4 linked regions of the Saccharomyces cerevisiae S288C genome follow. The protein of the gene in region 4 interacts with the protein of the main gene of each other region in a biochemical or structural test. Each region holds a gene or a part of one and is shown on either strand. Other genes may lie near its edges. The genes, in order: UBC9, SAW1, SLX5 and NFI1.

Region 1 (4,933 bases), on a different chromosome or scaffold from region 4:
CCGCTTTGCAAGCAGCAGAACAGCAACCGCAGCTAAAACCTGCAGGAAAATCCAAAATAGAATCTAAAAGGTTGTTATTCGATTTTGCCGATAACTTACTGTCGTTAGTGGTGGCTCTGTCTAATGGATCCGACGATATTCTTAATGAGATATTAACGGAAAGTAAAATAAATGAAATTTTTCAGGTCATTTCACAGCTATTAAAATATGGTGTCGAGAAACTGCCAATTAATCTGTTCAATACCACTCTTGATCTCATTTATGATTTGAGTTCCGAATCATTTGAATTTATTGATCATGTTTCCAACAATGAACTTCTATCACAGTTCTTAAATGGGCTATCTCCGGCTTTACATCCACAAGCTAATGAATTAACAAAAGTTCTAATTGAAGGTATCCATTGCCAATTCCTTGACATGAAAATAACTTATGATCAATGTAACAAAATGATCCACTCTGTATGTCATTCCATTAATAACATTGATCCAGTACAGTTAGTTAATGACATTAATAACCCTGTAGAAATTGGACCTGCTACTAGTAAAGATGAAAGCAGTAAGGTTATAACTAAGATCAAGGATTACAATGCGAAACGTAACGAATCCATGATAAAATTGCAAAGCATTGAAATAGCAATTGATCTTATCACCGCAATCATTGAGATAGTTGCATCCAAATATGAATCACCAGAATCACAGGAAGTAGCAATTCCAGAGGAGCTAATCAATACCTTAACAAATTTCTTACCTCACGTTTTCATGATTTTGAAAGATACCTTCACCTCGCGAATATTGATCGGATGGAACAATCTGATCTGGCTCTTTGTGTCTCTATCTCTAACAGAGCTCTCTGGAGAGTTGTTAACCACCTTATGGAGTTATGTTACACAGTTGGACAGCCAAGATGATTTGAGTATTAAAATAGGAAGAATGGGCTGTATTTGGGCGCTTCTGAAACTCATCTTTCCTGATGGAGCGTTTGAAAGTGAGAATCGAGCATTGATCAATGTCCAAATGCTGAACAATTCAGGATTCGCTAGGGGAATTATTGAAGAGTTCCAAAATAATAATGACCTTGAGTTACAACAAAAATGTATTAATGTACTAAGCACATATGCTATGATTCAGGGACAAATTGATGCAAATAAGGAGATTGGGCAGTTCTTCATACAAACTTTAACACAGTTGAATGTTCGCCCTGAAATTTTGATAGAAATGACAAATTCGCTTTTCCAAATTTACGGGGATGCCTCTTACGACTATAATGAACCAATATTTGTAAGGGGTGGATTTTTATCTATTCTAAAAGACCAAGTTGTACCAAATTTGAGGCAGCAATTCAAAATGGTTGATAAAAACAAAAATCCCGAACTAAAAGAAAGATGCCATGATTGCTTTACTACGTTGGATAGTTTCATTCACTACAAAATGAATGAAAATTCTACTAACCAATAGATTTATTAAAGTGTATATAGTTGCCATACTTATAGAAAATGGTACAAAAAATATCTTTCTATTTACTTAGCATAAGAAACAAAGAGCAAAAAATTATTTTTGAGAATTTGTAAATAATGTTATTTTGCTCTATTTTTGTTACACAACGACATTAGTTAAATAAAGTACAAAAGGAGGAAGAATGGGAAAGATGGATTCCCTCTATTTAGAGTACTGTTTAGCTTGAAGCAAAACTTTCTTGTCATATTCCGCCTTATTTCTTGAAAATGATCTCCATGCAGGCTCTTGAGCAGGGGAATTTGGATTTGGAGAGTCTAAAAGATCCTGAACCCCAAGAACAATTTGTTTTAACGTGATGGCGGGTCTCCAATCTTGATCTTCATTTAAAATACTTAAACATATTGTGCCACTTGGATACACGTTTGGATGATAAAATCCGGCTGGAAATTTAACCTTTGGAGGTTTTGAAGGATATTCATTTGGATATTCGACTGTAATTGGGTACACACCACCCGCCCAGTTTGTACCTTCTTTGCCTGGGATACCAGCTTCCCATTTCTGTAAATCCATGGACCCATCAGCTTTCTTAACTGGTTTGGCATAAAATCCAAATGGATGATCCTTTCTCCATTTTTTTCTGTTATTCAAGTAAAACAAGTTAAGTTCATCGATTTGTTAGTATACCGCTGGATGAAATTGTGTATGCCTACAGAATGTAAGCATAAAAGGAGGAAAACTACTACTTACCTTTCTTCCTGAAGACGCTGTAGACACAAACTACTCATATTGCTTCCAAAAAATGGTGCCAGTGTGTGCTTATCCTATGCTAAATTTCTCTTCTTTTTTTAAATGTTTGTTATGGAGACAGGAATAATTTTTAATTTCCAGATGTTAAACGCGGTTTCTGAGAGATATAAAGTGAAGAAAGAATTACAAATTGTGGGAACCGAAGTATTGACGGAAAGAAGAAATGCCAAACATACAACACGAAGTAATGAATGAAAACGAGTACGATAATTTTGATGATTTGGATGACCTTTTAGATGAAGATCCCACTAAACTGGATGAAGCAGAGCCCGATGATGTGCAAGCGAAGGGTTCTGTGTACAACGATAGTGAAAACAAAGAGAAGAATGCCGAAAGTAAGGACAGTGATGGCGTACAGGTAGCTAATGAATCTGAAGAGGACCCAGAATTGAAAGAAATGATGGTAGATTTGCAAAATGAGTTCGCAAATTTGATGAAAAATAACGGTAACGAGAATAATGTGAAGACAGAAGATTTTAATAAACTGATTAGTGCTCTAGAAGAGGCAGCTAAAGTACCTCATCAACAGATGGAGCAAGGATGTAGTAGTTTGAAAAGTAACAGCACTGATAAAGGGACCGTGAATGGTAGCAATCCGGGATTTAAAAACATTGTTTCCAATACGCTAGACAGGTTAAAGGAAAATGGTAATAAAGTTGATACATCCCTAGCCGAAGAAACCAAGGAATCTCAACGCAGTGGCCAAAATAATAATATTGATGATATATTGTCACAATTATTAGATCAAATGGTAGCATCTGGTGGAAAAGAAAGTGCAGAAAATCAATTTGATCTAAAAGATGGGGAGATGGACGACGCAATAACAAAAATACTTGATCAAATGACGTCAAAAGAAGTATTATATGAGCCTATGAAAGAAATGCGTAGTGAGTTCGGTGTTTGGTTTCAAGAAAACGGTGAAAATGAAGAGCATAAGGAAAAGATAGGCACCTACAAGAGGCAATTTAATATCGTAGACGAAATTGTAAATATTTATGAATTGAAAGATTATGACGAGCTAAAGCATAAAGATCGTGTTACTGAACTTTTGGACGAATTAGAACAGCTTGGTGATAGCCCTATTAGAAGTGCGAACAGCCCCCTAAAACACGGTAATGAAGAAGAAGAACTCATGAAAATGTTGGAAATTGATGGTAATGATCCGAACTTGGGGAACCTTGATAAGGAATTAACCGACGGTTGCAAACAACAATAAGGTATATATATTTATGATAACAGTAAAAAAAAAAAAAAAAAAGTAGTTCATTATCCTAGAGCATAACTAAGTATAACACTTTAAAAAATGAAAAAAAAAAGTGGTAGATTGGGCTACGTAAATTCGATTACTCGATCGACTTGATTTCTTTTTGTAGTCTTTTTTCAACGGCATCCAAAAATTCTTCTGTGGTAACATAAGCAGATCTTTCGTTGTTACCGCAAGCCAAAGCCAAGTCCTTCGTCATGATACCGTCTTGCTGAACTGTGTTCAAAGTGGCGGATTCCAAAATATTGGCAAATTTACACAAAGCAGGAGTATTGTCCAATTCACCTCTCTTCAATAGACCTCTCGACCACGCGAAAATGGATGCAATGGAGTTTGTAGAAGTTTCTTCACCCTTTTGGTACTTTCTATAATGTCTTGTCACGGTACCATGAGCAGCTTCACTTTCGAAAGTTTTACCGTCTGGTGTAACTAAGATAGAAGTCATCAAACCTAAGGAGCCAAATCCTTGAGCGACGATGTCAGATTGGACATCACCGTCATAGTTCTTTAGCGCCATGATAAAGCCACCTTTAGATTTTATCATTTGAGCGACCATATCATCAATTAAACGGTGTTCATAGTGGATCCCTAGTTGTTCGAATTTGGATTTATATTGAGCTTCATAAACTTCTTGGAAAATGTCTTTGAACCGACCGTCATATTTCTTCAAAATAGTGTTCTTGGTTGACAAGAAAAGATTTAGCTTTTTGTCAATGGCCAGCTTGAAAGACGAATGAGCAAACCCTTCGATGGATTCGTCAGTATTGTACATGGCCATGGCCACACCACTGCCCTTGTAGTCATACACTTTCAAAGTTTGTGGTTGAGCAGTCGTAGGGTCGGATGGCTTGTAGACCAGTTCCAAAGATCCTGGGCCTGGGATCAGTGTGTCCGTAGCTTTATATTGATCACCGTGGGCGTGTCTTCCAATAATGATTGGTTTTTCCCAACGTGGGACCAGTCTAGGAATTCTAGGAATCACAATGGGCTCTCTGAACACTGTACCGCCGAGAATGTTTCTGATGGTACCATTAGGAGATTTCCACATCTTGTGCAGGTTGAATTCCTTCACACGAGCTTCATCAGGAGTGATGGTGGCACATTTGATACCAACACCATACTTCTTGATCGCCTCAGCAGCATCCTGAGTAATCTTGTCGGAGGTGGCGTCACGAGATTCGACAGATAAGTCGTAGTACTTCAAATCTACGTCCAAGTAGGGTAGAATCAATTTCTTCTTGATCTTATCCCAAATGATACGGGTCATTTCATCACCGTCCAACTCGACAACGGGTTGTTTGACCTTAATCTTACTGAAAGCAGCAAGGCGAGAGGTGGAAAATAATCTTCTAGATAACATACTCATGCTGGGCGATCTTCCTTGTGCGTCTGTTGTCTCACAATTGCT
Region 2 (4,826 bases), on a different chromosome or scaffold from region 4:
GAAATACAATATCAGCGACTCTAGGCCGCACGTTCAGCAATTTCAAAATGCCATCAGGAAGGTGAGGCAAGTGCAAAGAATGAAAAAACAAAGAGGATTTGCCTTTTCACAGGCTGAAGAGGGTGGGCAAGAAAAAATTGTCAGAATGTATGATACTACTCAAAAGAGAGGTAAGTACGGTGAATTACAAGATGCTTCGGCGAACCCCTTTAATGACAATAATGGACTGGGAAGTAACGACTTTGAAAGTGCAGAACCGTTCATTGAAAATCCATTTGCTGATGGTAATCAAAATTCAAATAGATTCAGTTCTTCGAGAGATGATATTTCATTTGATATATGAGGCACAGAAACAAAGAGCAGAAGACAAAAAATACAAAAATAAAAATAAGATAAAAAGAAAAGTCATTATTACCATTACTGAAATATGTACATTTACCATAAAATATATCCGTTATATAGAAGTTATAATATTAAGCCATCACTTTGTTATCGGTTTTTCATTCCTCCTGGGGTTGCTTCGACTGGGTACGTACCTTATGTCTTCTAGGCCTATGCAACACATGTACATCAATAATTTCACCTAAATTAATAACAGGCTTGTACATAAATTCTATTACAGGTTTTATATCCTCTTCCACCGGTGTATCCAGGGCATCAGCGTCCCCATTTTCTATTAACAAATTAGGTACCTGGGGCTGTTTTTCTATTTTCCTAGCTAATAACGTTTTGGGTCCTGCATTTAATGAGAAACCGTTTAATGTTAATGTTTGAAACATCAAATAGTGCCTTAAATTGGCGATCTTCTTAATGCTGTTGATGAATATGTCGAGCTCCCACTTATGTTTGTAGTGCAACTTGTATTTGAATTTAGCCAGCCTTGTCACAGACTGGATGTGAGAAGTTACCGCATTATCCGTATCGGCACCTGCAAAAAGTTTGGGCAGAACGTTGATTTGGAAATCAGTAGAATGACCAACTCTTATTTTGCTGAGTACGGAACTGATGATTTCCGGGGACGCTAGTTCGTAAACAATCAATAACAGGTCCTCCTTGATCTCGTCACAAAGATTCTTCTTATCTTGTTGCGATAAATATATTCTTGTATTTGGTGATTTTAAGCAGATTATGGAGTTATTTGATAATAATGGTGCTTCAAATATAGTGGCATTCGACTTATTGCTAGTCTTATCATTGGTTTGAAGGATCTGCTTTCTATTGACAAATATACGTAATGGCAAAACCATGTCCCTGGCTATCTTTACCGTTGCTATACTTGGTGCCATTTTTCACGGTTACTGTGAAGTCCAATATACTCAATCTTCTTGTATTCTTCCCTTTCAGGCCTGTCCTTTTCTATTTCATTGCCCTTTTTTCCACTCATCTTTCCACTTGATTAAAAATACCAGAAGAAGCACATTTTTACATTTATACGTTACATATGAAAAAATCACAGGATCATTTTTTGATATACAAATACTATTTTTTATTTATGCGATACTAGATGCTTGAAGGTATAGCATATGACGATGATGATAATTAAAAAGACAATATCAAGGGCCTCGTTGCGGTATTTAGATGCGAATGTTACATTTTTTTTGGATATCATTAAGGAATTCTCCAAAGACAATAAACTTTCCATTTTCCTCATTACTTCCTTCCTAGAGGCCAACCTGTCTTTGCAAGAAGCCATTCTTTTCTCTAAATCTTGTAATTTTGCCACGTTTGTATTTATTGTATCACTCAAACGTGCCTCAAATGATTCGGGGTTTTCCTTGTCAAAATCCTGTTTCAAATTCATTAAATAATCCTCTTCAACAAGCTCTTTCCATCCAATGGTCCTGGATCTTAAGTCCCTTAGCTCTTTAACGATCTTGTCAAAATTTGCAATGTTTTTAACAAGGTCATTTTCATCTTTCAGAACCTCATCTTTCAAACTGTGCTTTAGTAAAGCTTCTGTCTGCTGTAACTGCAATCCGATATGACGCTGATAGTAGTCTAATTCATCTGAATTTAGCGAAAGATTCGAACTACTATATGTGATATTTCCAGGAGGTTCAAGAGGATCAACAGCCACTGACTGTGAGAATGACGTCGATGATGAAGACGATGAAGAAGAAGACAACGAAGATGAGGACGACTGCGAAAACGATGCATTGCAGGCGTCTTTTGGCGAAAGCCCAATGGGATTAGCAACGGCAGGAGAGGATTCGGAAGCTACAGAGGGCGGTCTTGAGGGCGAAACATGTTTCTTTGGTGAGCTTTCAAGATCATGGTAAAGCAAGCTCTGTAACGATATATCTGTCTGCGTGCTAGAACTCCCGTCTGATGAATGCGAATGATGTGTGGGTCGCTTGGAAGGCTTAGATATAACATTGGGCAATATTGGATCGAAAGCCGGCGCCAGTGCAGACGAATCCTTAGATTGCCCAGACGAAGAAGGCTCCATGGATTTCAAAAACCGGTGAACCAACCTTTTCTTGTCCTTCACGAAGGACCGGGAAGGTGATTTAAGACCGTACTTGTCGTTGTCTTTGTAATGGCGATGGGCTGGGTGCTGCTGGGCTTGCAACATCTTAAATGAGGGAAAATGGTCTTTGGCAGAGTATCCACCATCGAGAGGCTTTGATTCTACACTATGCTGCGGGAATGGTCCTTTAAAGGTGGCGACTACGTTAAATGGGTGTTTTGGCGAGAGTCCAGAAGACTTCATCGTACTGAGACTTCGTACTTTATCTGGTGCTGCGTTGAACATACAATCGCTGAACATTGCGGTCGAGGCAGACGTGTAATCCGGAATAACTTGACGATGCAGTTTATGACGAGCATGATGGTGCTCCATTTCATATTTCTGCTCTTTTTCGTGTAATGCAGCCAAATTACTGTGAGAGGCTTGCCATCCAACGTTTGGCTTAGTTTCAACAGTAGATTTGTGGCCAACATCTGGTGTTCCAGCGTCAATCATTTGCTTTACATCTTCCAGGGGTCTCTTTTCTACACCATCTTTGCTATTGCGATCTGTACCATCTATTCCGCTGCCTTTAGAAGAGCTCTTTATTTGAGCATTTTGCATTGTACCTGGACAACTACTGGACTACGTAAAAAACTGCCATCAATTTGTGTTATTCTTACTCTTTGAGACAATGTTTCATAACAATAGAACAATAGCTTTTTGACCTTCCCCTTATTTTATTTCAAAAGGTAACAGTTAGGGCTATTCTTAAACTTTCTTTAGGGTACACAATGAAAACATCAAGATTGAGTTAAAACCCTTAAAATAAAACTAGGTCTTTAAGAAACTCACTCTCCGGGTTATCCATAGAATGTTTACCATTCTTTAGGGTTCTGAACTAATGCGAAAAAAAAAAAAGAAAAGACTGAAAAATTCGAAAATATCTCGAAGTTTAGCAGTAGTAGATGAGAATAGGGTCTCTTTTATCGAAAACCTGCAATTGTAATACAACCTTTTTTTGAAAGTCAGCCTTTATTCTGATTCTGCATACTCAATTCCTCAATTCCTACGGAGTTATCACCTTTTTTTTTACCTTCTCTTCTTTTCTTATTGTTCTAGCTGAAAACATTGTTACCAGTTTGGCGAGACAATTTATTTTCAATACGATACCCTTTTGTTCTTCTTTTTATAATTCAATCTAATTCTAAAACACAAAAAAACAAAAAAAATCCTATAACCAGTTCTCCCGCATGTCATTTGAAGTAGGAACTAAGTGTTGGTACCCTCACAAAGAACAAGGCTGGATAGGCGGCGAAGTCACCAAGAATGACTTCTTTGAAGGAACGTTCCACTTAGAGTTGAAATTGGAGGATGGAGAAACTGTATCCATTGAAACAAATAGCTTCGAAAATGATGATGATCATCCCACGCTACCTGTACTACGAAACCCACCTATTTTAGAGTCTACTGATGACTTAACCACCCTATCATATCTGAACGAACCGGCAGTGCTGCATGCCATAAAAAAAAGATACATGAATGGACAGATATATACTTACTCTGGTATTGTCCTTATTGCCGCTAATCCCTTTGATAAAGTCGACCATTTGTACTCTCGCGAGATGATACAGAATTATTCTAGTAAGCGTAAAGATGAGCTGGAGCCGCACCTTTTTGCCATAGCAGAGGAGGCGTACAGGTTCATGGTCCATGAAAAGGCTAACCAGACTGTTGTAGTCAGTGGTGAATCCGGTGCTGGTAAGACCGTCTCTGCTAAATACATTATGAGATACTTTGCCTCAGTCCAAGAAAGCAACAATCGTGAAGGGGAAGTGGAAATGTCTCAAATCGAGAGCCAAATTTTAGCTACTAACCCGATCATGGAAGCCTTTGGTAACGCCAAAACTACCAGAAATGATAATTCCTCTCGTTTCGGCAAATATCTGCAAATTTTATTTGATGAGAATACTACCATCAGGGGGTCCAAAATTAGAACCTATCTCTTGGAAAAATCCAGGTTAGTTTATCAGCCAGAGACAGAAAGAAATTACCATATTTTTTACCAAATTTTGGAAGGATTGCCAGAACCGGTAAAACAAGAACTGCATTTGTCATCTCCCAAGGACTACCATTATACTAACCAAGGTGGACAGCCGAACATAGCTGGTATAGATGAAGCTCGAGAATACAAGATAACCACTGATGCCCTGTCATTAGTAGGTATAAACCACGAGACTCAGCTTGGAATTTTCAAAATTCTTGCAGGCTTGCTACATATAGGTAATATCGAGATGAAAATGACTAGAAACGACGCATCACTATCATCGGAAGAGCAAAACCTGCAAATCGCATGTGAATTATTGGGTATTGATCC
Region 3 (5,852 bases), on a different chromosome or scaffold from region 4:
TTATCTGCAGACACGGAAGATACAAAAGTTATCTCGGCAGCTTACCCTTTATATCGAATGCAGGCGTAGACAAAAGTGCGTTGCATAACTTACCAAGGTGAAGTGCATGGACCAGCAAAGGATAGAAGTTATTGTAAACATCGAAACCATAAACTTATATATGTATATATGAAGGCATTAAGCGTTTTATGTTTTCACAACCCTTTTAAGAGATGTCTTGGACAAAAAAGCTTCTTCGTTGGTGATAGCTTCTTTATTCCAACTCCGAAACGCCTTGTGCTAGGAAAACTACGCCTTTCCAACTACACTGCATTTCACGACCTAATCATTCACGACCTCTTTATTTATATATTTATTCTTAATTTTTTCTTCTTTCCTTTTTGTAACAATTTCAATTATTGGAAGGTTTTTCACGTTGCTCAACCGAGAATTTACCATCACTCCAGACTTGTAATGATTCTAAAAGTTTCCCTTGAGTGTGCAGTTTCTTGATTTCTTCATTACCTCCTCTTGATACTCCATTAACCAAAAGGTTTGGAACAGTTCCTCTACCGGTCACCAACTTGATATATTCTTGCAGCTCTTCCCCATGTCCATGTTTGTCAAGTTCTATAATATAGTAGTTTGGGATAAACTGATACTCATTTTCAAGCAGTTCCTTCATGCCCTTGCTATATGAACAGGTGCTTTTACTAAATATTATAATCGGAGACAAGTCTAGTATGAGGGAGTATTCTTTTTGAACATTAAAAGCTTTGGTTATTCGCGACCCTTTATCGTTTTTAATGGCCGACAAACTATCATCAACCGATGCTATGGGCTGTTGGAGTCCCACCTTCTGTTTTATTTCATTAATTTCTTCGTCTACTTCAGAGCTCCCCTTATTCGTGGTAGAAGTCGGCATAGCAGCATATTCCCTGGAAGATCCTCCAGCCATATTGTCCATATTAGTACTAAATGCTTTAGAAGTTTCCTCTTTTATCTCTACCGTCAAGAAGTTCGCATTTTGCGCTACGAAAAACACTAACAACAATAATAGCGTTGTAATGCTTAAAATTCTAGCATTTCTCTTATTGGAAGGTATCATAATAAAATTGTTTCTATATTAAACCGCTAGGTTGCTAAGGTTTCGTCTTTTCTATCTTACGATAATTTGCTTAAAAGTTCATTTAGAGAATAGATAGTGATCTTTCCCAGTATAATGTTTTCCCGATTTCGCGAACGCTCCGCCTCAGGCGCCCCGGGACGCGTCATGCGCGTTCCAGAAAGTTAACTAACTGCTAGTGCATTCAATTTCTCAAGGCGTAGTATTTGGGATCTATAAAGCCTTCGACATTAAGCACTATGCTTAAAAGCGAACAGCCTGCGCCACTACTTAAGAGCGAATCTTGTGTGGAGGGATGACTAGGTCCAAAGAGGGAGAAAAGGATCTTGCGGAAAAGTCAACAACACTAATCGGTAGCTGAGTCTGTCAGTGCATCCTTACTGGCTTACTATTTTCATTCATGCTGCAAGTAGATTATCCTCTAGTTAAATTAAACGCGGATGAACTACGCCATTAAATCCATCATAAGAAACTAATTACTACTTTTAGGAAATTAGCCAACTAAAAACTGCTGAAACGCCACATTTCACATAAAACCCCACGGAGCAGTAATGGGAGATCTTAAGCTCAGCCCAGTACATATGTCCATCAGCCTTGAATAGCCACGGTGAGTTCTCGAAGCTTCCTTCCACCTAGTCCAGAATATTTCTTGGTAAATGGCTCGAAGTTTTCGTATTAAACGATGCTATCAGCGGCATCGTGAAATATTGAAATATAAAAAGTATTTACGCAACCGAAAAGGATATTAAGACAAACCCATACAATAGCCCATAAACCAAGCAAATACACATCTCATGTCAGCTCAAGATTATTACGGAAACTCTGCCTCCAAACAAAGCGTACGTTAATTTTACAAGTTTTGCCTTTAGAAGATCACATCGTACTAACGAGCCCTTGTATTTTCATTACATCACTTTCGATTCAGTATTCTCGTCCTAGCGCTCCACCACCAGGATATGAAACGGCGTCTAGAGGTTACGCTCCATCGCAAAGCCAACAGAACTATTATCCACCTCAACAGCAGCAGCAGCAGTATCAGCAACAACCTCAATACTATCAGCAACAGCAGCCCCAATATTACCAACAACACCCACAGCAGCCCATTTATGTCCAACAACAACCGGCCAGTTCTGGAAATGAAGACTGTCTAGCGGGCTGTCTAGCGGGTTTATGTTTATGCTGTACTTTGGATATGCTGTTTTAGAGTATCTCCATATCTTGTGGGAGCAAACCCTTTCACACAAATCCACTATATAAAACAAAGCACAATTGCACCTCTGATCTTTTAATCTTAATTAAATAAGCGTGATTAAAGTGTTCATGCAAGTAGATAATATATAATGATGATAAGTTCGAAAATGCCCTTATAAAAATTAAACCGCGTGCTAGAAGTAAACCTCCTTCAACCTGCCTCTTGAACGAATAAGCTTCTTACAAGAATCTGCGGGACATAATTTGGGGCCATAATTATCCGGATGAGCCGAACCCTTTAGTTGAGCTAGTTTCTTTTTGGGCATCTTAGATTTTTTTTTTGCATTGTCAATCCTGGCGAAACACCTACCACAAAATGCATGACCACACGATGCAATAAACGTTCGTTTTGATAAATCTCTATCAAGCATTGATGGTCTGGCTAGGGTTTGGTAGGGGCAGTGGAATTTGTATTTTGACACTAACCCTTCAAATGAAACACCACGATCCTTTTGACTGATTCCAGTAAAATCATCCGGTATTCCGACCCCCAATTCTGCGCCACACAAGCAACAAACAGGAATATCCTCGAGTGTTTTTGCTAAATCGTCATCTGTCACAATGATGGTTTCTTCTTTACCATTTTTCGTAATGTCTAATTTCATTTTTGGCGTAGTATCAAATGACGCGCTATAACCTTCGGGTAGGCTGGCTGCCCTAGCTTCGAATTCTTCCTGTTGGGCTCTGGTTTTGTTCATTAGATTCTTCATGACCACATCCCGCTCTCGTTCTTCTCTCTCTTGGATCATATCAATGATATTTTGAGTGTGTCGTTCCTCGTCAGCATCGCTCAATGCTGGGCCACTCCACAAACGACTTAAGAACCCATCCTCTCCATTGAAATTAAGATAGTTTGTGATTGATTCACGTAATGTGCCACGATGGAAAACTCTTCCTGCCGTTCTTTCTTGTCTTTCCAATGCTTCTCGGTGAAGTCTCAAGGCCTCTTCCTGAGTATTTCTGACCCTATCAATGGCCCAATTCTGCAGCAGTTGATTTCTGAACTCAGTGAAGAGTGCCATTAGTTCTTCTTCACATTCTTGCAAAGTAATTGGAGCAACATTTTGTAAAATAGACCTGAATTCATGCAGTGACTCTGCACGATGAAAAGCACTACGAATATCAGGCGTATATGATTGTATTCGTTCCCTGATTGATTGTAACCTAATAGATGTACTTATATTTTCGTCACTGGACACCCTTTGCTGTTGTACCCTACGTTGTCTTTCTGCAATCCGTCTGCTCATTCGCATACGGCTCTCCCTACGAGCCCTTTGAATAGCTTCTGGTAAATTATGGGTATCATCTGTCCAATCTTCATCGTTTTCATCAGACCGGTCCACAAATAAATTACGGGCTCTTGTAGCACTCCTTCTCAGTAACTGCCTGCGTGATGCGCCTAGATCTTCTTGGAATTCAAATGACCTTCTTATCGGTATGTCTGTTGTCGTCGCAGTTACCTCAAGCCTCTCCCCGCCTGGCAGGTTCAGTGTCACTCTGGGTCGTGTTGTTCTCTCTTCAACTATTGTCAGGCCATCATCACTTTCATTGTTATTACCATTATCATTCAAGTACCCGTTTGTGTTATCTACTTGTATTGTTCTTGGAGTTTCTAACGTTTCAGAACCTGGCTCCTGATCAAGATCGACGTAATGTGCAGAAGGATCAATAGGTCCATCGTCTCCAAAAAACCGTCCAACTTCTCGTATTATAGTGATATCGTCGTTATTAGCTTGAAAATCAGGGCGCTCAGAGCTTGCTGTTATGTGAGTCCGTTGAGAATTCCTGCTCCTTGAATCTGACCTCACAAACCTATTTAAAGCATCACGTCGTCTCCCTACCCGTCTGTCTGGGTACAACCTCACAGGAAGGTTAGCCTCGCGAATAGAAGCGTCTTCTTCCTTATCACTATCTATTAATATAACTGTCTCATTTGGATTATTGTCTGATGGGCTATTATTGCTCTTTGTTCGACCGTTAGTATCGCTATGCATTCTATTATTTCGACTATTAGAGGAGCTCCGCGTTCCAAATAATAATTTTTGGACTGAAATCTTTTCAAAAGTTCACTCCTAGACTGAAGCTCCTAGTGCAAATTTCGACTTGGTTATTACCAATCAACGCAACACACGCTCTTCTTAATGATTAAGTCTTCGTTTTGGTCGCACACTGCCTCTCATCCATGTTAAATAGTAAATATTGCGACCTTGCGTATACAGTGATGTTTCTTATGGGCAAAGCCAAAAAAAAAAAAATACGTAAGAGTGACAGATGAAGAAGTGACACTTTGAACAAAAGACTCTATCAAAATTTTTTCAGATTCAATCCAAGGATAAAGAGAAATCTATGATGTAGTGTTACAAGAATTAATGATATATGGTCATCAAACAGTGTCGAGACTGGAGAACAGCTTATCGATATTGTTCCTACCTTTAAAAAACTCGAAATATGATTATGATTTCTACTTGCTTGCTCTTAACAATTAATGACCAAAAAGTCACCACATATACTCTTTTTTTTTTATATGGCGAATACGTACAATACTTTTGTTCTCTAAAAGAATTTAGTAATATCTATTTTACAAAGTCGAGGGTTACAAAAACTTCAAATAGGAAGTGAAACTGAATGGGGGAAATATATATAAACGAAACAATTATTCTGCTAATAATTGAGCAAGCTACCAGAAACTTTTGACTAATTTCCTTTATTCAACTTATTTCTTCAAACCGCTTCTCATGTATCTACCAACGACGATACAATGGTCTCTTTCATATGGCTCTAAAGTCAATTGTTCTAATGGCTTAATACGTTCCTCACGTAACTTTTGAACTTCTCTAGCAAAAACGGTTTCCGCGTCTACAGTAGAATCAATACAGTTAGCCTTAATGGAGATAACAACACCACCTTGGTCCTTCAAGAACATATGAGAGTTCAATGCAATAATACGAGCTTGATCAGGCTGGGCAACATCTGCGAAGACACAGTCAACCATACCAATCAACATTCTGTATTTTTGTGGGTGTCTAGCATCTTCAATGATTGGGATGATATTAGGTCTCTTCTTTGCCATAGAAATCAATTCTCTGCCTGGTCTGTGAGAAAATTCTACGGCGTAGACAACACCTTCTGGACCAACAACATCTGAAACGTGAGAAACAGAAGTACCGGAAGCAGCACCTAAATATAAAACTTTCTTGCCTGGGGCAATAAATAATTCATCTAGACCACCCATAATACCGGCAGCCAACTTAGATCTGAATGGGTTCCATACACGGTATTCGACCTTGGTTGGTGGGACACCATCTTCCTTAGATGGTTCTTCAACGGAGATTCTCTTTTCACCATAAACTGATTCACCTGGGGCCATGTTCTTGGTAACTAGCAAATCTTCTTTACCTCTAGCAATGTAAACACCGGCATGTCTATGTGGTTCAATAACGACCTTGGCACCACCACGGGCACCACCAGCAGCGCCACCTCTACCACCTCTGGAGCC
Region 4 (6,626 bases):
ATCTCTCAGACTTAGCTGGTGCATTATCATGTACTTCAAAGCTCATCCCTTTGAAGTTCGATGAATTTTTCAAGGTGCTTAATGCATCCTTTTGTCCTTCCAAGCAAATGATATCTTCTTCTTCTTCTTCGGCTGTTCCTGTAATTCCAGAAGAATCCATTTTTAAGAACATCATGAAAAGGCTGTCACAACTGGAGACAAATTCTAGTTTGACAGTTTCTTACATTGAGGAACAGAGCAAACTGCTATCTAAATCGTTTGAACAACTTGAAATGGCGCACGAAGCAAAGTTCAGTCATCTTGTCACGATATTCAACGAAACAATGATGAGTAATCTAGATCTGCTGAATAACTTTGCCAATCAATTGAAAGATCAATCTTTACGTATATTAGAAGAACAGAAACTGGAGAATGACAAATTTACTAACCGTCATTTATTGCATTTGGAAAGATTGGAAAAAGAAGTCAGTTTTCAAAGAAGAATTGTTTATGCGTCATTTTTCGCCTTCGTAGGGTTGATATCCTATCTATTAATAACGAGAGAGCTTTACTTTGAAGATTTCGAAGAGAGCAAAAATGGCGCTATTGAAAAGGCAGACATTGTTCAACAAGCAATCAGATGAATCCTAGAGGGCCCATAATCATAATTCTAAGCATAATTCATTCAAGATGAAAAAATCCACCGCCATATATGAGGTGTTTCTATAGGAAATATCTATATACTTTTATAGTCCTAATTTCATTTTACATAAACTGTTTTAATCAGTTTCTAATAATCTATGAAGATAATTCACTGTTTCTTGAGGGGATGCTATCCAGAGGGTACATCCAGCTAGCCTTGCCTTAAAATCATTTGCTGATCCCACCGGTGCAAACTGATCGCCTACGTGTAAGGTTTCAGAGGGTTGGATAGGAGATTCAGGGTTATAAAATTGTTGCAATGAACGAACACCAAGATCTTTCCCCCCAATATCACACCAGACATCACTACCACCATCAAAACAACTAAATTGAATTCTTCTAGATGGGGCAAAAGACTCTAAAGTGTTTTGAAGGGTTAAAACTATTTCCTCCAGTTGTTCCCTATCAAGCTTAACAGGAACTTGTCTTTTAGAAGCTTCATCGTACCGTTCGCCTGGGACGATACCCACTGCCCTGACTTTACGGATAATAGAAATCTCTGAAGGTAGGTTTAGTCTTTTTCTTAACCTGTTAAGAGTTCTCTCGGCAAAGTCCAAAGTCTTTTCCACGTCCTCGAGGGACCAAGCCTTCATTCTAGGCAATAGCCATTCCTCTTTGTCAATTTGTCTAAAGCCAAAGTTATCTTCCTCCGGGTCTTCATAGTAACGGAAAAGGTAACTCGACTCACCACCCATTATTGTTAAATTCTGCTTTTGAGAAACTGGTATATCAGTTGAATCATGTAATGCAACAATTAATCCTTTCAATCTGTTCTCATAGGTTCCAGCTTCATCATATCCGGCCGCAGTGACTATTCCCACATTGATACCGCACCGCAACAGCTTGAGAATATAAGGAATTACAGGATTAGTGTAAACCAGGGAGCCACCATCTTCATACAGCGTCACATCTCCATCAAAAGTCACTAATCTCAAAACCTTACCATTATGTAAGTTCTCCTGTTTCTTAAAGTGAAATATCTGTGCAGTATTCAGGATATGCCTGATATCATTAAAACTGGGTGCTACCATTCTACGCGCCGAAATGGCCCGTTGTGAGTCTTCCCATAGAAAAGCTTGTTCCAATGGAAGTTCCGTAAAGAATGTTCCAATTGATGGAACCAAAAGATTTAAACGCGATTGTCCTAATATATTCAGAGATTGAGAAGAGGCGCCATCTTCAATTTCGTCTTGGCTCATGTTTCTTGAGTCAAATTCTATTTTATCTTTAATCAGCCCTTCAATGTCTTTAAAGATATCAGCATACTGCGACCTTACACGTTGAGTTGTTGCTAAGTCGTCATTGTAGTCACCTTCATGAGAGACGGCATGTAGAACAAAAGGTGAGGCCAGTAGCCCCTTTACCCAATCTATAAACTCATCCTTGCGGTGGCTCTTCAAATGATATTCCACTCTATATCTTGAGGACATTGCTATTATAAGTTAACTCACGATCTTTTGTTACTTTCTTTGAATAGTTTTCTTTTCTTAGTACATTCCTTTACCTTTTAAATTTTGTTAATTTAAGGGCGGCCTGTCCCGCTAAACGTGGGAAGTGAAAGGACATGAAATATTATAGTGTAATACAGGAAGTATACAGAGAAATCTATAGAAACCTATCACTGCAGATTCGCACACTACACCCATGAAGTAACCACAGTAGTAAAAAAACATAACAAAAGTCGTAATATTTATCAAAACAAAAACATCATTTACGCCCAAAAGTGGAAGTCAATATTAAGAGCGAAATGAAACAATAGAAATAAAAATAGAATACAATCGGAAAGGAAAGAAATCAAAAGACGGTTAATCAATCTGATGTTAAATCGACCACTTCCGAGTTATCTTGAGCCGATGTGTTAAAGTCATTAGTTTGGGCCAGAGTTTTATTCATTATGGCGTGATTTGCCTGTGGTCTCCGTTTCATAAGGGTGGCGTATGGATTCTTCGGAATGTAGATAGAAACATTAGAATGCCTTCTCTTCCTAATTTTTCCATCATCCCCATGGCCGCTGGTGCTCACGTGTATATATGGAGGGAGATGTGCCGCCGATGTGGTCCTTGTTGGTAGTTCAGTTTCTGCTTCTGAATTTGGGTCCACAGGGGGGATTGGAGGCAAATCACCTTCGATTCCCAAAAGATTACGATCTTGAGCTGTGGTATTGTAATTAGGTCCGTAGGGGTTTCTCTGCGCTTCCGTTTGATTAGTCAAATTTTGTAGAACAGCCGGTAATAGTGGCGTTGATGGCCCTCTATTGTAGAATATTCTGCTGTCACCATTCGTCGCCGTAACGAAAGAATTAATACTGCTATTGTTCGTCGGTGTGTCATTTATATTTGTAGTAGCGCCTTGGTTCAAAAATGACCTCATTTGAAAAGCATCTTGATAATTATCTTGGTCCATAGTTGGAGAACCTTTCGGCGTTGATGTATGATTGGGGTTGTAGTCACTGGATCCTTCCGATTCTGAGGGAAATATATCTGCTCTTAATTGGTCATTACGGGGGTTCACGTGCGTTGGGAAGCTTTTACTAGCCGGAATAAAGGCTTCATCATCTGAGCTATCCAGAGATATTATTTCGGGTTCGTTGTGGTTTGAACCATTACGCAAATTAGTATCGAAGGCATTTCGGCTGTCATAATCTTGCTCTTGTTTGACAGTGCCTTGGTTCTCGTTTTTCACACTGTGATTTTGGTTAACAGTATCCGTTATAACGGCCGAACTATTATGAATCGGTTTCCATGAGCCATCAACAGATATCTCAACTTGCTCAACATCTTCATTGCAATTTTGAATAATATTATCTACAAATTCGGAAATCTTCAACTGGTCGAATTTTATAGGGTGTTGACAAATCGGACACTGCCATGTAGGGACTTGTGACTGAGAGTGAAGAAACCAGAGAGCATCAAAACATTGGATATGCTTACATTGGTCAGTCTTCGCCGGATACTTCATCCTTGTACAAGATATAGGACATTGCAAACTCAGCACCGTGGAGGTTGTAATAATATCGTCATCATCTTGCTCATTCAAGGTTCTTTTGATGTATGCTGTGGTGGCTTGCTTGATAATTTTGGGCCTTTTCAGAATTTTCCCCAGAAGAGCTTCAGGTGAAAAAACTTCCACTATAAAGCAACTTATAGAGTACTCTTTATCAATATTGAGATAATGTAAGTCTAGGTGATTCATCTCGGTCGGTACTTTAAGATAAGGCGTTAAATTTGCAGGATTACCTGTCCCATTTTGTTTCTTTAAACCTTTCACGTTGTCCTCTAGTTTGGTGCCATTAAACACTAGTTCACAGGGATACGGGAAATCTATTGCCTCATGGCCCACAGTTTCATATATAAACGGTATTGAAAAGCCAGAAAACAAATACAGTTTATAACTCTTGTTAGATTTCAAAAGATCATGATTAGATTTACTTACCTTGAACTTCATTTTTGTACAACCTCTTCCTGCAGATTGCTTCAATTTTTTATTGGCATCCGGTATTTGTACTATTGGTTTGTAAAACGGTGAGGTAAAAGAATATGCTAAGGCCTGTTGTTGGGAATAAGGTGGCAATGCAGTACTCTGGAGAGCTGTCACGGGTAGTTGCCCCGATGCTACAGGATGCTTGAACGCACCCGTCTTTAAAGTTTCCCAAAGGGTAGAGTATTTTGGTAATGATGAGTTTATCCTTACTTTCGCGATAAGAATCTTAATAGCCTTAGGCCTCCACGGATCTATATGTCCAATATCACAGGATTTTCTTAAGAATTGTTTTATTCGGTCTTGTAAGACAGCCTTTTTGCCCGTTATGGATAAATCCAGAGATTTGCATATTTGCTTTAACTCTAGAACCTTTAATTGTTCCATTTCATTTATTGCATCTTTTATTTCATTTATGAGTCCACCACCTGTGTTGGACAAAGGGTTCGTAAACATATAACTGGCATTATTATTATTATTATTATTATTATTATTTGACATGACACTTGCCATCGTGCTCTTTTCCCTTATACGTTTCTTGATTATCAGTGTATCGTTTGTGGTATTCTTAGTTCCTTGATATTTGCCTCAGTAATAGCCCTTTAAAGACCAACAAACGGATGACTATAGAAATGTTAATTTTAGTGTTATGTTATATGTGTGGTACTGAGCTGTGTTTGTTATATTATGCTCTGTGTGATAAAATAGCTAAAATGGATGGATAAATTAACACGAAAATTAACGAACAAAAATCAACTAACACACTTCAAAGCATAAAAAAAAGAAAAAAGAAAAAGAATCAAGAACAAATAATAAGCTCTGCTATAAGAAAATATATTATGTAAATAGTTTTGCGGTTAGTTTTTGACTTCCTTTATCACATTTTGTTGAACAATGATTTACTATACTAAAATATACTTAAGTTCTATGTTTTACTTTCAAGCCGTTATATCGACTTGTTCTTCTTGTATGTCACAAATATTGACAATACTCTCCTTCAGCACAGCAGTTGTACCCCTGGGGAATTTGTAGCTTTTCTGCTTTTCTTCTCTAACATTTGGAGTCAAGTAATTCCTCAAGTATTCTGCATCTTTACCTATTTCCATGACACACACATCCACATTAGAACCAGACCCCAAATCATTCCAGATACCAGCCTGGATTGCATCAGAGGCCAACTTTATGGCTTCCTCCTTCGTAAGGTCTTGCTTCCAGTGTGATTCCAACACAGCCATTGCCGCTAGAGAACCAGATCCTAGAGAAAGGTAGTAGCCCACGTCAGTAGAACCATGCGCATGAATGGAGAACAAATGAGATCCCGTAGGGTCTACACCTGCAACAATCAAATAAGCACCAATATGACCTTGGTACTTAAATAGGTGCTGCTTTAGCATTTGTAAAGCTGAGACCACTCTTGGTTCTCTCGAGGTATATAAGGAATGTAATTCAATGTTAGACCCGATCAACTGCGTAACTGCCTCAGTATCGGCGGCGGTACCGGCACCAGCACACCATATTTTGGGGGAAATTCTATGCAATTTTGCGCAATTCTTATCTGCGACAATTGGACCTTGTGTTGATCTTGTATCTGCTGCAATCACCACTCCGTTATTGAATTTTACGCCTACAATGGTGGTACCCGTGGAAGTTGCCTTAGGTTGTGTGTGCGAGTTTTCCGCTAAGAAATTATTTCTTTGATAATTGTCGAACGATAAACCTGCCATGCTCACTCAATTCTATTTTCTACAATCAGGTTTATGTGGGGGGAGTATTCCTGAAAAAATTTAACGCTTTACTATACAAACTCTCCACCTCAACTGATCACCCTTCTGCTGAATTATTAGTTTATCCTTTTCATCTTTCTTTTTGGTATTTTGCCACTCGGCCGGGTTATAAAATACGAAACATGGCCCTAATTTACCCGCTTTTACAATAAAGGGTTTGTAATGAGGGTAAAAATATTGGCCCTAATGAAAAATCACTAGCAACGGAAGTGCAAGTAGAACCCTGAAGTCGCCGAGTAGGAAAGTGATTCCCAAGAGGAGTAGAATAAAGAAGAGAATCTACATATGGATTATTTAGGTAATAGTTTCATTGCTGATTGTCAACAACAATAATAACAAGGATAATTGAAGTATGGGGAAAGGTGCGGCCAAGTATGGTTTTAAAAGTGGGGTTTTCCCCACAACAAGGTCCATTCTGAAGAGCCCCACTACAAAGCAGACTGATATTATTAATAAGGTAAAATCACCCAAGCCCAAGGGTGTTCTTGGTATTGGGTATGCCAAAGGTGTAAAACATCCAAAAGGATCACATAGATTATCACCCAAGGTAAACTTTATCGACGTGGATAATCTCATTGCGAAGACCGTTGCTGAACCCCAGAGTATAAAATCCAGTAACGGTTCAGCACAGAAAGTGAGATTACAAAAAGCTGAATTAAGAAGAAAGTTTTTGATTGAAGCATT

Evidence for each region.
Region 1: the proteins of NFI1 (region 4) and UBC9 form a complex in vitro, tested with the Saccharomyces cerevisiae proteins (11 studies listed by BioGRID, with this or other methods).
Region 2: of the proteins of NFI1 (region 4) and SAW1, one has a biochemical effect on the other in vitro, tested with the Saccharomyces cerevisiae proteins (one study listed by BioGRID).
Region 3: of the proteins of NFI1 (region 4) and SLX5, one has a biochemical effect on the other in vitro, tested with the Saccharomyces cerevisiae proteins (one study listed by BioGRID).

The regions. Positions count from the first base shown.
Region 1 is NC_001136.10:334,793-339,725, reverse strand, and holds UBC9 (E2 SUMO-conjugating protein UBC9), read right to left. Parts: upstream 2,240-4,933; coding exon 2,202-2,239; intron 2,092-2,201; coding exon 1,656-2,091; downstream 1-1,655. Other genes in the region: SYO1 (Syo1p), read left to right, coding at 1-1,454; PEX19 (Pex19p), read left to right, coding at 2,449-3,477; isocitrate dehydrogenase (NADP(+)) IDP1, read right to left, coding at 3,605-4,891. UniProt on the Saccharomyces cerevisiae protein: E2 ubiquitin-like--protein ligase mediating SUMO/Smt3 attachment to septins and PCNA. Seems to be involved in degradation of S- (CLB5) and M-phase cyclins (CLB2).
Region 2 is NC_001133.9:91,147-95,972, reverse strand, and holds SAW1 (DNA-binding protein SAW1), read right to left. Parts: upstream 1,287-4,826; coding exon 501-1,286; downstream 1-500. Other genes in the region: aminophospholipid-translocating P4-type ATPase DRS2, read left to right, coding at 1-343; FRT2 (Frt2p), read right to left, coding at 1,487-3,073; MYO4 (myosin 4), read left to right, coding at 3,703-4,826. UniProt on the Saccharomyces cerevisiae protein: Catalyzes 3'-non-homologous tail removal of RAD1/RAD10-dependent single-strand annealing recombination intermediates. Plays a key role in targeting RAD1/RAD10 complex to 3'-flap cleavage substrate in recombination.
Region 3 is NC_001136.10:427,565-433,416, reverse strand, and holds SLX5 (SUMO-targeted ubiquitin ligase complex subunit SLX5), read right to left. Parts: upstream 4,351-5,852; coding exon 2,491-4,350; downstream 1-2,490. Other genes in the region: YDL009C (uncharacterized protein), read left to right, coding at 169-492; glutathione-disulfide reductase GRX6, read right to left, coding at 392-1,087; YDL012C (uncharacterized protein), read left to right, coding at 1,900-1,944, 2,031-2,309; rRNA methyltransferase NOP1, read right to left, coding at 5,070-5,852. UniProt on the Saccharomyces cerevisiae protein: Component of the SUMO-targeted ubiquitin ligase (STUbL) complex SLX5/SLX8 that mediates ubiquitination and subsequent desumoylation of sumoylated proteins and proteins containing SUMO-like domains for their degradation.
Region 4 is NC_001147.6:625,870-632,495, forward strand, and holds NFI1 (SUMO ligase NFI1), read right to left. Parts: upstream 4,672-6,626; coding exon 2,491-4,671; downstream 1-2,490. Other genes in the region: SLP1 (Slp1p), read left to right, coding at 1-623; ISN1 (IMP 5'-nucleotidase), read right to left, coding at 759-2,111; PUP1 (proteasome core particle subunit beta 2), read right to left, coding at 5,097-5,882; mitochondrial 37S ribosomal protein mS26 PET123, read left to right, coding at 6,295-6,626. UniProt on the Saccharomyces cerevisiae protein: May act as an E3 ligase mediating SUMO/Smt3 attachment to septins. May be involved in chromosome maintenance.